Linked DNA regions of Drosophila melanogaster. The gene in region 1 interacts genetically with each later gene. Each region holds a gene or a part of one and is shown on either strand. Other genes may lie near its edges.

The links.
Region 2: of Shaw (region 1) and qsm, changing one suppresses a phenotype caused by changing the other (phenotypic suppression), as found in Drosophila melanogaster (one study listed by BioGRID).

What each region holds. Positions count from the first base shown.
Region 1 is NT_033779.5:3,719,644-3,727,564, forward strand, and holds the start of Shaw (shaker cognate w), read left to right. Parts: upstream 1-1,692; coding exon 1,693-1,946; intron 1,947-2,001; coding exon 2,002-2,119; intron 2,120-2,179; coding exon 2,180-2,374; intron 2,375-2,709; coding exon 2,710-2,928; intron 2,929-3,009; coding exon 3,010-3,613; intron 3,614-3,992; coding exon 3,993-4,121; intron 4,122-5,240; coding exon of another isoform or gene 5,241-5,299; exon of another isoform or gene 5,300-5,553; intron 5,554-6,012; coding exon of another isoform or gene 6,013-6,035; exon of another isoform or gene 6,036-6,258; intron 6,259-7,035; coding exon 7,036-7,376; 3' UTR 7,377-7,921. UniProt on the Drosophila melanogaster protein: Mediates the voltage-dependent potassium ion permeability of excitable membranes.
Region 2 is NT_033778.4:20,580,470-20,585,373, reverse strand, and holds the start of qsm (quasimodo), read left to right. Parts: upstream 1-1,782; 5' UTR 1,783-2,024; intron 2,025-3,241; exon of another isoform or gene 3,242-3,344; intron 3,345-3,722; 5' UTR 3,723-3,740; coding exon 3,741-3,813; intron 3,814-4,904.

The DNA.
Region 1 (7,921 bases):
TTAGTAATATATAAAATCGTCAAAAAGTATGCAATAAATATATTCTATCTATCTATTGTTCATTTAGTTTCATGCTAACACTTTTATCCTTTACTACTGCATTTCGGCTGTCAGGACGTTTCCGGAATTATCTTCTTGGCCGCAGCTGTAGCGGAGAGTACCCAGTACCCAGATACATTTGTATCGGTGCGTGCGAGAGTGTAAACAATGCAGCGCCAAAACTAAATATTGTTTAAGAACAAATATTTGCCTTTTGTGCAAATCACGAAAGGCAATTTCATTATTCCGTTACGTTCAGCTCCTTTTATATATTTTTTTTATTATATACCAAAAAATAGTATTTTTCGTGCCACTCTCCTAAATTGATGACGCTATCGATGATATGGCTCAACTATATTTAGTCAGATCTCGGAAAAAGGTACAATAATCATCGGTGGGATGCGCTTCACGAGCTGCTAATGGGTCAATTCAATCGAAGCGAATATTATTGCCTATTTTCCAATTAAATGGCCTTAGCTTGAGCGTTGGGTTTGTTGATTCTAAAAATTTATGCGGCGTAGAAGTACTCGCTAAATAAAGTGAATCCAGGCATTGAATCATCGGATGCATACATCAATTCAAAGAAAGCGTTACTTCTACCGATTCCATCCGGCACACTTTAATACATAACTGAATCATTTCGATTTGGAATAACTGATCTATGATCATTATCTTTTAGGTAAACAAAATTGCCCGGTATTCTTCCATAATCCGAAGATGTGCGAAATTTGGCCACGCATCTGAAATGATATGAAATATTTGAGTTTCCCAATGATTTGTATATCCCAAATATTGATTTAGAATCAATAATTTGTATGCCTTACTTAGCGAGGCGAGGTCAAGAGATTTGATCAGCAATTAATTATTATTAAAAATTTTTAAAGTAGTAAGTGTAGAAATATTTCCCCAAAATATATTACATTTTCCATGGGCAACCTCTAAATTAGTTGTTCCTAAAAATAGTTGTGCGTGCGTATATAAAAGTCGTTTTGGATATGCAGCACATGTGTCTAGGCCATTAAACTCATAATTATGAACCATTAAATTGAAGGGATCCATACGTCTCCTTAAAATGAATGTGTAATTACTTCACGAATGCCCCGAAAACTTTCTATACTAAATATGACTTCAACCAAAGTAAAAGAAAGAATTTAAAGTGGTGAGATAATATTTGTAAACCTTTCTATTGCAGCGGCATGTTGTCCAACTCAGCCCCAACGTAGTGAGTAGCTAGATTGCAAGGATCAATGGAGGTGTTTCTAACATCTGGGCAAATATTTTCCAGTGGTGGTACTAGGTCCTGAGGCCTGATCCCCATTGGGTGCCGAAGAGTGGATCGAAGTGGTGCCTTGACGGAGTGGTAGGCATAACTGCATAAATCGTGGGCAAGGACAACGAAAAGCATTCAGGTTGGATAGCGTAAAATCAGAACAATGAAGTCCCAAAAACCATAGAAAACATAAGCCCACACAAAACACACTCACGCAAGAAACATTAAGGTTTTAAAAGCACCTCAAGCAAAAACCACAAACAGAAGTTTTACTTTACCTATTACCTTATTTGTTTAATCTTAATTTAATTTAACAAATTATACAAAAAGAAACCGTTCAGCCTCACACCGTTTGGTTGGCTTTTGAGCTCTTGATCCAGACAATGACTTATATACCTAAAAAAATGCAACACTATGCGCATGCAGCCATGAATCTGATCAACATGGACTCGGAAAACAGGGTGGTGCTCAATGTGGGTGGCATTAGGCACGAAACCTACAAGGCCACGCTGAAGAAGATTCCGGCTACGCGATTATCGCGATTAACAGAGGCGCTGGCCAACTATGATCCGATACTGAATGAGTACTTCTTTGATCGGCATCCGGGCGTCTTCGCACAAGTGCTCAACTATTACAGGTGGGTGTCCTAGAATCCGATTGTTATATATTATTAACTTTTCACAATCGTACAGAACTGGAAAGCTGCATTATCCCACGGATGTGTGCGGTCCGCTGTTTGAGGAGGAATTGGAGTTCTGGGGCCTAGACTCGAACCAAGTGGAGCCCTGCTGTTGGATGACCTACACACAGGTTAGTGCCATATTATATTTAAAAATTCGTAAAATTAAAGCCTTATTTTATCTATTGCAGCATCGCGACACCCAGGAAACCCTAGCCGTACTCGATCGTCTCGATCTGGATACGGAAAAACCGTCCGAAGAGGAATTGGCACGCAAATTCGGCTTCGAGGAGGACTACTACAAAGGCACAATATCCTGGTGGCAGGAAATGAAGCCGCGCATTTGGTCCTTGTTCGATGAGCCCTACAGTTCCAATGCAGCCAAGGTAAGTCAAATCTATAGATGTTTATTGCATTCTATATTTATCAAAGTCTTTCATCATTTCCATGCAAAATTGCATGTGTCAGAGGAAACACTTTAATTCATTTTTCAATTAAGATATATGCATGCTGAACAATTTTCCGAATGAGTGAAAAATCCACTTTAAAAGCATTGTAATAAGTAATTATATTATTATATACACAAACGGCTAGACATCTATTTTTATTTCAAGTGAATGCATATCAAAGCATATAAGCACATTAATCATTCCAACAAATTTCTATAGATACTAGATTTATTTAATTATAATATTTTTACCAATTCTCGTCTAACTTCTAGACTATTGGCGTGGTTTCGGTGTTCTTCATCTGCATTTCGATCCTGTCGTTCTGCCTGAAGACCCATCCCGATATGCGGGTACCCATCGTCCGGAACATTACAGTGAAAACTGCGAATGGAAGTAATGGCTGGTTTTTGGACAAAACGCAGACCAATGCGCACATAGCCTTCTTCTATATCGAATGCGTGTGCAATGCCTGGTTTACCTTTGAAATATTGGTAAGAGATCAAATCAGAGATCATAACTGCTTAGAAACTCCTAGTAAAGACCTTTAATAAATATTATATCCTTTTATCCAGGTGCGCTTTATCTCATCGCCGAACAAGTGGGAGTTCATCAAGTCATCTGTTAACATCATAGACTACATAGCGACGCTTAGTTTTTATATCGATCTAGTGCTTCAGCGGTTCGCATCGCACCTGGAGAACGCTGACATCCTCGAGTTCTTCTCGATCATCCGCATCATGCGTCTGTTCAAGCTGACGCGCCACTCGTCCGGACTGAAGATCCTGATCCAGACGTTCCGGGCCTCGGCCAAGGAGCTGACCCTGCTGGTGTTCTTCCTCGTCCTGGGCATCGTGATCTTCGCCAGCCTTGTCTACTACGCGGAGCGCATCCAGCCCAATCCGCACAACGACTTCAACAGCATACCGCTGGGCCTGTGGTGGGCCCTGGTCACAATGACCACCGTCGGCTACGGCGACATGGCCCCCAAAACCTACATCGGCATGTTCGTGGGCGCCCTCTGCGCCCTGGCCGGCGTACTAACCATCGCACTGCCAGTGCCCGTCATCGTCAGCAACTTCGCCATGTACTACTCGCACACGCAGGCCAGGGCCAAACTGCCAAAGAAGCGGAGACGAGTGCTTCCCGTCGAGCAGCCGCGCCAGCCCAGACTGCCAGGTGAGTGGATCTACCTTCATAGTTAGTCATACAGCATAAACAAAAGATAAGGAAATTTCAATCCAAACTCAGAATATATAATCTATTCAATACGAATATTTTCTAGAAAATGCACAAGCATCCAGCTTTCATTTGCTGATTTATTGAAATTGCATTTACTATCCGAGACGTTCGAATATATCGTAAATTACGATTAATGCGAATATAATGCAAATAGAATCGTGTATAATAAATTAAGCAATGAGGCGTGTTTACAATATGGCGTAAATTATTGTAGTTAGAGAAATAGTGGGAATAGACGAGCTGATTATTACTATATATTCATAAATACTAGCTAGAATTTTGTTTACTTACTAATTGGGATTATTGTATCCTTCAGGTGCCCCTGGTGGTGTCAGTGGTTGCGGTACCCCGGGCTCGGGTCCCCACTCCGGTCCCATGGGATCCGGCGGTACTGGACCACGTCGCATGAACAATAAAACAAAGGACCTGGTCAGCCCCAAGTCAGGTGAGTCTCTGAGTGTCCTTAATGGAGTTACATCACACTGATTCCCGCAATCCAAGCAAAATGCAAGCCAAAGCTAAAGCCACCAACAAAGTACAAAATAAAAAGTAAAATAAAACCTATTGGAATCGAACATAGCTTCAAAAAGGCACCGCCAAAACCTAATGTCTTCCACTAAAAGTACTGAGGACGAGCAAACCAGCTAATACAAGTTCTTAACCTGTCTTAAAAAGCTCGCACAGCTGCACCCTGAAGTTCAAAAGTAATCGAGTTCAATGGATTAACTTTGCAATACACAACCCAGTTATAAATACTCGTTATCCTTTGTGCCGTCTCGCAGTTTCTCCTGGCAAATGAATATTAATAGTAAAAGATATTAATTTAAGAGCCCAGTAAATGCTGCCACGAAATGCGAATCTTTGCCCATAACGACCCCTGATTTTGGGTGCGCTTCCCCTTTTGGCTAAACTATATCCATTATATAACATATCAATCGTCGTGTACGTGTATATATGTACTCTATGTAATTACCATGCATTTAAGGCTTCTTTATTCATACTCCAGTTTTACAATTTCAAGCTTAGCTTTAATTTTACGCAAATCATTCAAAGGAAATTTAATGGTGTCTCATGGAGTTCAAGTGGAAAATCGATGGGAATGTTAAGGAAGAATTATTACTAGTCAAATAGAAATTTCTACAAATATTGTTTACCTTCTCTTAATTCTTTTAACATACTTATCGATCTACAAATTACTTGAACTCCAAGCGTAAAGCCAAAGACTCGAGTCATTTCCATATCATATATGTACTAAGCAGACCTTTACTTTTTCTTCATCCATCGAAGGCATACTTGTATATTGAAAGTCATCGCCTTTCAATCAGTTTGGGATGTACTTTATTCCATTGAGTCAGCAAAATACAAGAATATGTATCGCAATATATATATTTTCCCTTTCTTCAATCATTTTTATACCCAGATACGAGACTCTATTTTATATATGTACCTATTTCAACCATTGATTTTTGATATCTATGCTCCGAAACACTTTCGTTTACTTTAATATAATTTCATTTAATTGATAAACGATCCAATCCAAACCCCAAAAATCTTGTGTAAATAGATGAATATACAACAATGATTGGCAAACCGCGCGATGGCAAAAAGAGCAGGCTGCTCTAAGCCAACAAACACAACAGCAACAACATGAACCACGATACGACAACAACCACAACAGAACCAGATGAAGAACCCAAGAACTCCCCATACCATTACTTCCAAGCTAGAAATTGCAATGCGATGATGATGATACTTTCTGTATAAGAATTTGGCAAACTGATCTATGAGTAAACGAAGGAAAAGTTGAGAGTAAAAGAAAACGCAACCCAGGGACTGGATAAAGATCATATAGCGGATATAGACCAAATCGGATTGTGGTACGTGGATCTGGATGCCAAATAGCCATAGATATATGATTATTCGTATGGTTACTTTGAATATGGACGACGTCTGCTACTGATATCTACTGTTACTACTACCACTTCAAACTGCTATATAATCGTATATATAACTACAATATGTAATTTTCTACGTGTTTTCCTCTCTCTCTCTATTTCTCCACCTATCTTTACATAAGTTATATTATATTCTATATATATCGTGTACGTGTTGTTCTTCAGTTCTGGCTCGTTCGTTTCTTCGTTAGCAGTGTATAAGATACTATACTACTTTAATCAGATATGTAAACGTATCCTCTGTCATTCTCTATGTGTGCGTGTGTAACTTTGTGACCTTTCGTTCTAGTCTAATTGCCCCGAATCAGAGATCCCCTAGCTATGTAATTGATCGAAAAACTTGGAATATACTTTGTATTATCTCGAACTTTTGTATTTCAGATATGGCCTTCAGTTTCGACTAAAACAGAAAACAGAACAGAACCAGAAAGATATTTTGTAATTTGATAAGCCAGCTCAAAACACAGTATAAAAAAAAAAAACAAGAAAAACTCGGCAACAAAATCGAAAAAAAAAATCGAAACCAAATCAAAACGAAACCTCAGTTATATACGAAATAAGAAATCCCCGGTTCGTTCATCTATCATCTAACTATCAGCTAACCAAAACTCGGACTCTGCTGGGCGGGTGTGTGTTGGTTAAGAAACCTTTATTAACTACCCCTAACAACCTCCAACTTTCTTGCTCTCTTCCAACCCGAAAAATCCCCAACTAAAAGTGTCAAATAGTTGAAAAACTTGGAAACTAGTTCGTAGCAAGCAGAAACTCTAGAGTTTAGAGCCACCTTCACAAATCCGATTTCCCAGCATTTGATTCTACAAAGTTTTACCCCCCCCCCACTCTGCCTGAGTCCAACTTATCCAACCGAGCGGAAATCTTGGCCGAACGTAATTTGCAGATATTGTATCTAGCCTTATGTGTGTGTTTATTTGCCGAGCATGCTGCATGTGACCCGATTTTGACCTGAGTCTTGGAGTGTGATTAGTGTTTCCATAGTTGTGTGTGATGTTTGTAATCATGTTCGTGTTACACTTACCCCTCCCAAGAATACCACCACCACCAACCCTCGTATATCGTAGTAACCAAGTGCACCCAGTAATATACCATCAGCAATTTTGAAAAAAAATAAAAAAAAATAAGAAAACAAAGTTGCCTCCCACCTGCCATATGAAAATCAAAGTTTACCAGATTTGGAAACTCCAGCTTGACTAACCGACTTAATGAAAATAATATTTATTTCTCTCTCTCTTTTTCTTTCTCTGTTTTTCTCTTACTCTTCCCGGACTTCCCACTGCTATATCTATCTATTGTTTCCGGCTATATAACTCCACCTACTCCACCTACTTCCTATCCACCCGAAACCGAAACTGATAATCCTTTCTGTGGCGGGGTTAAAACAAAAAGTTGCTCAACTTTTCGCAGGTCCGCTGGGCGCAAGCATTGTGGCCATGAGTCCCCGGACAATGCTGGATCTCAATCCTGCCCTGGCGATGGGCAAGCCTACGTTTCAGCCCCGTATACCCACCCCCCTGGCAGCCACGCCCCCTCCCCCCGTGAGTTCCGCTGGGGGGATGACAGCGTCTGGAATTGGAACTACTTCAGCCACTGGAGCCACTAGTGCACCACAACCAGCAACACCACTACCCAGCATTGCGGTGTCCACCACAGCGAGTGTGGGCAAGGATTTGGGCATCTCGACCACCACCACCACGGCCCAGGAGACCAGCAAGAAGGCCTTCCTCTAAAGGAGCAGCCCAGCCAAGGATTCAGCCACCTGCTATTTATATTTATCCACGATCCCCATATCCTCCAATAAGCAATATCTATTCGATGTCATACAGAGCCTTCGCATACGTATTCACTAAGAACAAAGATGGTGTGTTTCAAAGTTAGCAAAAGGATCCTAACCTACTCGTATCACTTGAGATCGTCTTTGTTTTCCTCATATCATCACACACTGTGTTTCGCAAAGCCTCATATCGAAAAATATCGAAATGAATATCATATATTCACGAACGAGTCTACAATGGATCAGAATTAGCTGGAGATCAATCTTAAATCAAATATCGATTGTGATGCTATATTATGAAAAGTATTCTTTGATTTCAGAAGGGGTTTAGGATATTACTCTATATAAGCCATTTGACTGTTATTATATATTAGTTGCTTACTTTTATATATCGAATCCTATGTAATATCTCACACTGAAATGAAAAGGCCAATATTAAAGCAATACTTTGGTTCAAGACCAATTATACACCTAGCTAAAAATTACCATTCTGTTTAATCC
Region 2 (4,904 bases), on another chromosome or scaffold:
TATTTTTTATGTTTATGTAAAGTACACGTTTCTGGTACTAAGTACTTCGAGAAAGTTACCTGCGTAGGATATCAAAACTATCACTGCAGTTTCAGGCTTTTCCCAACTACACCTATTAATACATATTTTAACGTCCTATTAAAGTTGTAGTTTGGAAAGTTTTGGTTTTGCATTAGAAATCGCCACTCAACTTGGTTTTTTCTAAAATTATTTAGGTCCGTTTTGCATATTTTAGGTGTTTTACAAAATCTGTGTAACATACTTAATATATTTTTAGAAAACTAACACCTAAGTGTACGGAATCAAAAAAAAAAAGACAAATATGTGATATTTAAGCAAATTTGCCATAATCTCAAAATAGGAAAAAGTCTGTTATGCTTATATTTGAGTGTTTTAAAAAATTAGAAAACCCAATTTTAATTATTTTTAGAAAAGACAAAATGTGATATTTATGCTTGTTTTTGTTTGTTTTACAAAATTGGCATAACCGTCTTTTACCTATTTTTAGAAAACTAACACCGAAGTGTACAAATTCAAAATGTGATATTTTTTTCACATTTGCCATAATCTCCTTAAAATAGTAAAGGCTGTTATGCTTATTTTTGTGTTTTTTACAAAACTGGCATTCCCGTCTTACTTATTTTCAGAAAACTTACACCAAAGTGCACAGATTGAAAAAAAAAACACAAAAATGTGATATTTCATCACTCATCAACTCAAAATAGTAAATCGAAGGGCAAAAAAATATGGTATTCTGTTTGCTATTATAAAAGTTCACGAGCTAAGCTAACGATTCATTAAAATATGTACATACATATTTAAGTGTTAAAAAAAAATGTGTATCTCGCGAATTCCTTCGATTTCCTCGCGTTGCCGCCATTTTGAATATTCTCTCTCCCGAAAGTTGTAGAGTAGAGCAAAAACTTTGGATGTTTTGAGAGTTCGAAGTTCATACTGTCATCCCGCTCTAAACCTCTGCATTCCATTGTGTCCCGTTTTGTGATTTTTCCTTTTCGGGATCTTCTTTGCGTTCTTTGCCCCCGGCATTCAAATTCCGAGAGTCGTCGCGAGTGGTCGTTTGAAACGTATTACCCGACATCGTTCTAGCCAACAATTTTCTGCTGCGGATGGGGGCAGTACTGTTTTTTTAACATTGAGTATTGCACTTTTCACAGCCCGAAAATGTTAGCAACTGCCTTATACTAACAATTAGCATTTTTAAATTATTAGAAATGTGAATTAAGTTTGAAGCGATTTGGTTCGTCACAAGGGCAATTCTGCATTTTTTAACTAGTATTGCACTTGAGACGGCCTGATTACTTTAAAACGAATCATTTTATGAGCAAAGTAATTAGTTTTGTTGTGTTTTTAAACTCCTTGCAATAGGCGGCAAGACGGTGAAAAATCGAAATTTCTAGATCATTTTTCGGACGGTATATGGGTTAATATTTCATTTGTCGAATATATTGCACATTCACCGGCCTGAAAATATCAAGAATTAACATCGAAAAGTGAAAAAAAAGTGTTTGCGAAAACATAAACATTTGCAGGGCGGGTCGTGTGTCAGTGTATTTATATCTTAGCTATATTGCACACTTCCCGGCCTTTAAATGTCCAATGTTTCAACATTTAAATCTGTGAAATCGTAAAATTATAAAAATCCAGTTGCGCTTTTCTCGGAAATCCGCAATCCGTTAGGTGTGAGCGAGATGACAGCTGTTGCGGTTCTTCCCCATTCCTCTTTCGCTTCGTCACAGACTTGCCAGATCGGCAAATTGTGTGCAAAGAGGAACGGGGAACTTGGTTAATTTCTTTTGCAAGTGGCAAGTGTTTAATTATTACAATTTGTGCTTAACTTAATATTGGCCGATGCTTGAGCTAAATATTCCCGTACAACTGGTGCAACAAAGTAATAATAAGGCATTTTGAGTTGAATTTAGCAAATTAAATTAGTGCGCTCGGCTGGTTGCCTTTATTTTGCACGTCATTTACCGTTTTTCAAGAGGGCCAGTAGTGTATGGCCAGTAAGTATGCACAAATAAATGTTTCTAATCCGTTTAATGATGGGATGGCCATTGGTTTGGAAAACTAACAAGTAGGAGAATCATGAATAATGCCCAAGCACGCGCGAAATCAAGAGGTGTGAAATTGGGTTCACGGGCTGCGCCTTGGGCTCTGGAAAATGCAGTAGATGACCAGCTGAAGAACGGTTTTAGTTTTGGCGGAAGTGTAAGTGTACCGTTAGTACATATAGCGAAATATATAGGGAAAATATCCATAACAGCTGCTGCATTTAGCTCATTTTAAACTATTACTTCCCTGTTCTCATCTGTGGCCGTTGAGAACGAACCGGCAGTTCGTGCTGACAGCGAGCGCAATTACATAAATGTTTGTTTTGACAACAATAGCGAGTGCAACAAAAACAACAACAGCAAACGCAACAAAAAAGCCGGAGACGAGATTGCATAATTGCTTGTAAGATTTTGCTCCCACAATTTCTCAGTTTTTGTCATGGGACAAAAAAAAAAATTATACAAACTTACCGGCTGATTGTTATCTCCGGCAGAGAGCGGAAAAGAGCGGTAGTGAGAGCGATCCTTTTACCGTATTTTACAGCCTCTCGGTTAAGCTAACTTGCTAAAGTCGCTCTCTTTTTCGCCGTGCGACAGAGATGCTCCGTGCGAGAGAGCGACTTACAGTGGGTCATTTTAATTGTGCTCTGCTTATCTAAATGTATTCAAGTATATCCATAAATTGTAATGTAGCACTTTCGTAATTGCCGGCTTTATTTATGCACTGTGAACAGCCAGGGGCTAGATGGCGCCTTAGCATTTTTCCCCACTGTCCACGCTCTAATGCCTAAGAGCGTTGGTTCACTAGCTAGTTTATAGCTAACTTTTGAAAACTCCGTTTGTTAAATAATTATTCAACACTATCTTATTCAAAATTCTTAAAATATTTTCTAAGGATTTTTTTTTTTACCAATGAAAGCATAATATAATAAAAATGCATATAGATTTATGTTGCAATAATTCGGATAAAACGGCACACTTATCTTCTTATATACATACGTACTTATTACATTTCTTTTGGGTAATTAACCAATTGGTTAACATTGAGTGCTTTCACTATAGTTTTGCACTCTCTGCCATATAAGAACGACTTCTGCTCTGAAACTGAGTCAGCATCTCTATACGCCGGCTCTCGATTCCCGAGGTAATGAAGTTGCAGCCGAGCTGAGCCTCAGTTGCCTGGCGACTAGCGAACAGCTTGGACGTGTGGTGTGCTCTTCGGTGTGGTTTCGAGTCTCGAGTTCCGAGTTTTCCCCATATTGCAGCCGTCAAGTAAGACCCGCTCCGAGTTTTGTGTGAATTTGTGTGATATGTGTGTGGTTCGCGGCTCGTTTCGTTTTTTATTTGCCGTTGTCATTGGTTTTTGATTTGTTGAGCGGTCGCCGCAAGCCACTTGACGGGCATTCTCTTCTGGCTTTGTTTCATAATAACTCGCTGTGTGTGTTTGCGATGCGGTACATATATATGTTATGGTACCTACATATATGAATTGTGTCTGTGAAAACGTCAAAAAGGCCAGGCCAAGAATACAAATAACAAATAAAATGTTGGCCCGCTTGTGGAGCATGTGCCGTTGCTTCGGCTTCGGTTCGTTCGAAATGCTTGTAATAATATGCCGTTTGTCTTTCCGTTTCTACCCCGACCAATTAGATCCGGAAATTTTGGAAAATGCTGCTCTCAATGCAAATGTGGCGCTCTCTGTGGCTGGCGGCCCTATTCTGCGGATTAGCCCAGGCCAAAGGTAAGCACTTTTTCTATCTATATACTATACGCAAAAATTTAAATATAAATATCAGAGTTAAGATCGGGGAGTGCAAGGCTAAAAAGCTTGAGAAGCTCCCATAGCGCTGCCATGATGTCATTCGCGTAATGAAACACAATAAGTATTTATTTTTTCTTTTCGATTTTGTTGAAAAACCGACAAAGTGACCTCGTTTTTGGTCGTGAAGTGCACATACACACACAATTTGTGGCCATTTGGAGTGATGGTCGAATAAAACGATCTTCGGTTTTGTCGGGGGCGTGCTGGAGCTTTTTTTTTGGTAAAAAAACGAATGACTGAGGCAACGAACTTGCGGCGACTTAATGAAGTTTGGCAGCGCGGCCCTGTCATGATTCACTCACTCGTTCTTACGCTTCCTGCCATATATTAATGCTAAATTGTATAAGGCATATATCCCTCGAAAGCCCTAACACATTAGTCATTAACTTGCCTGCCCCTGCAAGTTGCCTTTAACAGCCAAGACAACAAACGACTAAACAAACTATCAAGCGAGCGCGGCGAAAAAACAAAAGACCAAACAAGACACCTACACAAACACAAGTGCTGGGAAGGCAACATGACACGCCAAAACAAAAAAAAATAAGATATTACAAAGAAATAAAAAACAAAGCACAGTCCAGCCAACAAGATAATATCGACGAGAAAAATACTTAAACAAAGCGAAAAAAAGGGGCAGTACTCATAATAAAGCCCACACTCAACTGGTCAAGAATCGGCTGGGGTTGTCTTATTAAAAGGCAATCAGAAAGGAGAATTAACTGCAAAAAAATATTACGCGAGAAAAAATGAAGAATTAAAGGCGAAATACAGCCAAAACGGGCGACAATCGACGACTTGTGTAGGCGAACTGGTCCCGGGAATTAAGATGCAGCCTAAAAATACATAAGGCCGATACGAAAACATCTCTCTCGCGGGCTACAAACAAACAAATAAATATATATATATGTACATATATAGAAACGGTGCAGACGAGGCTGTAATTTACGGACAAACCAAGCGAGACCGAGAGTCCGAGTTTCAGCTCCTCAGCGTTCTTCGGCAGCCAAAGC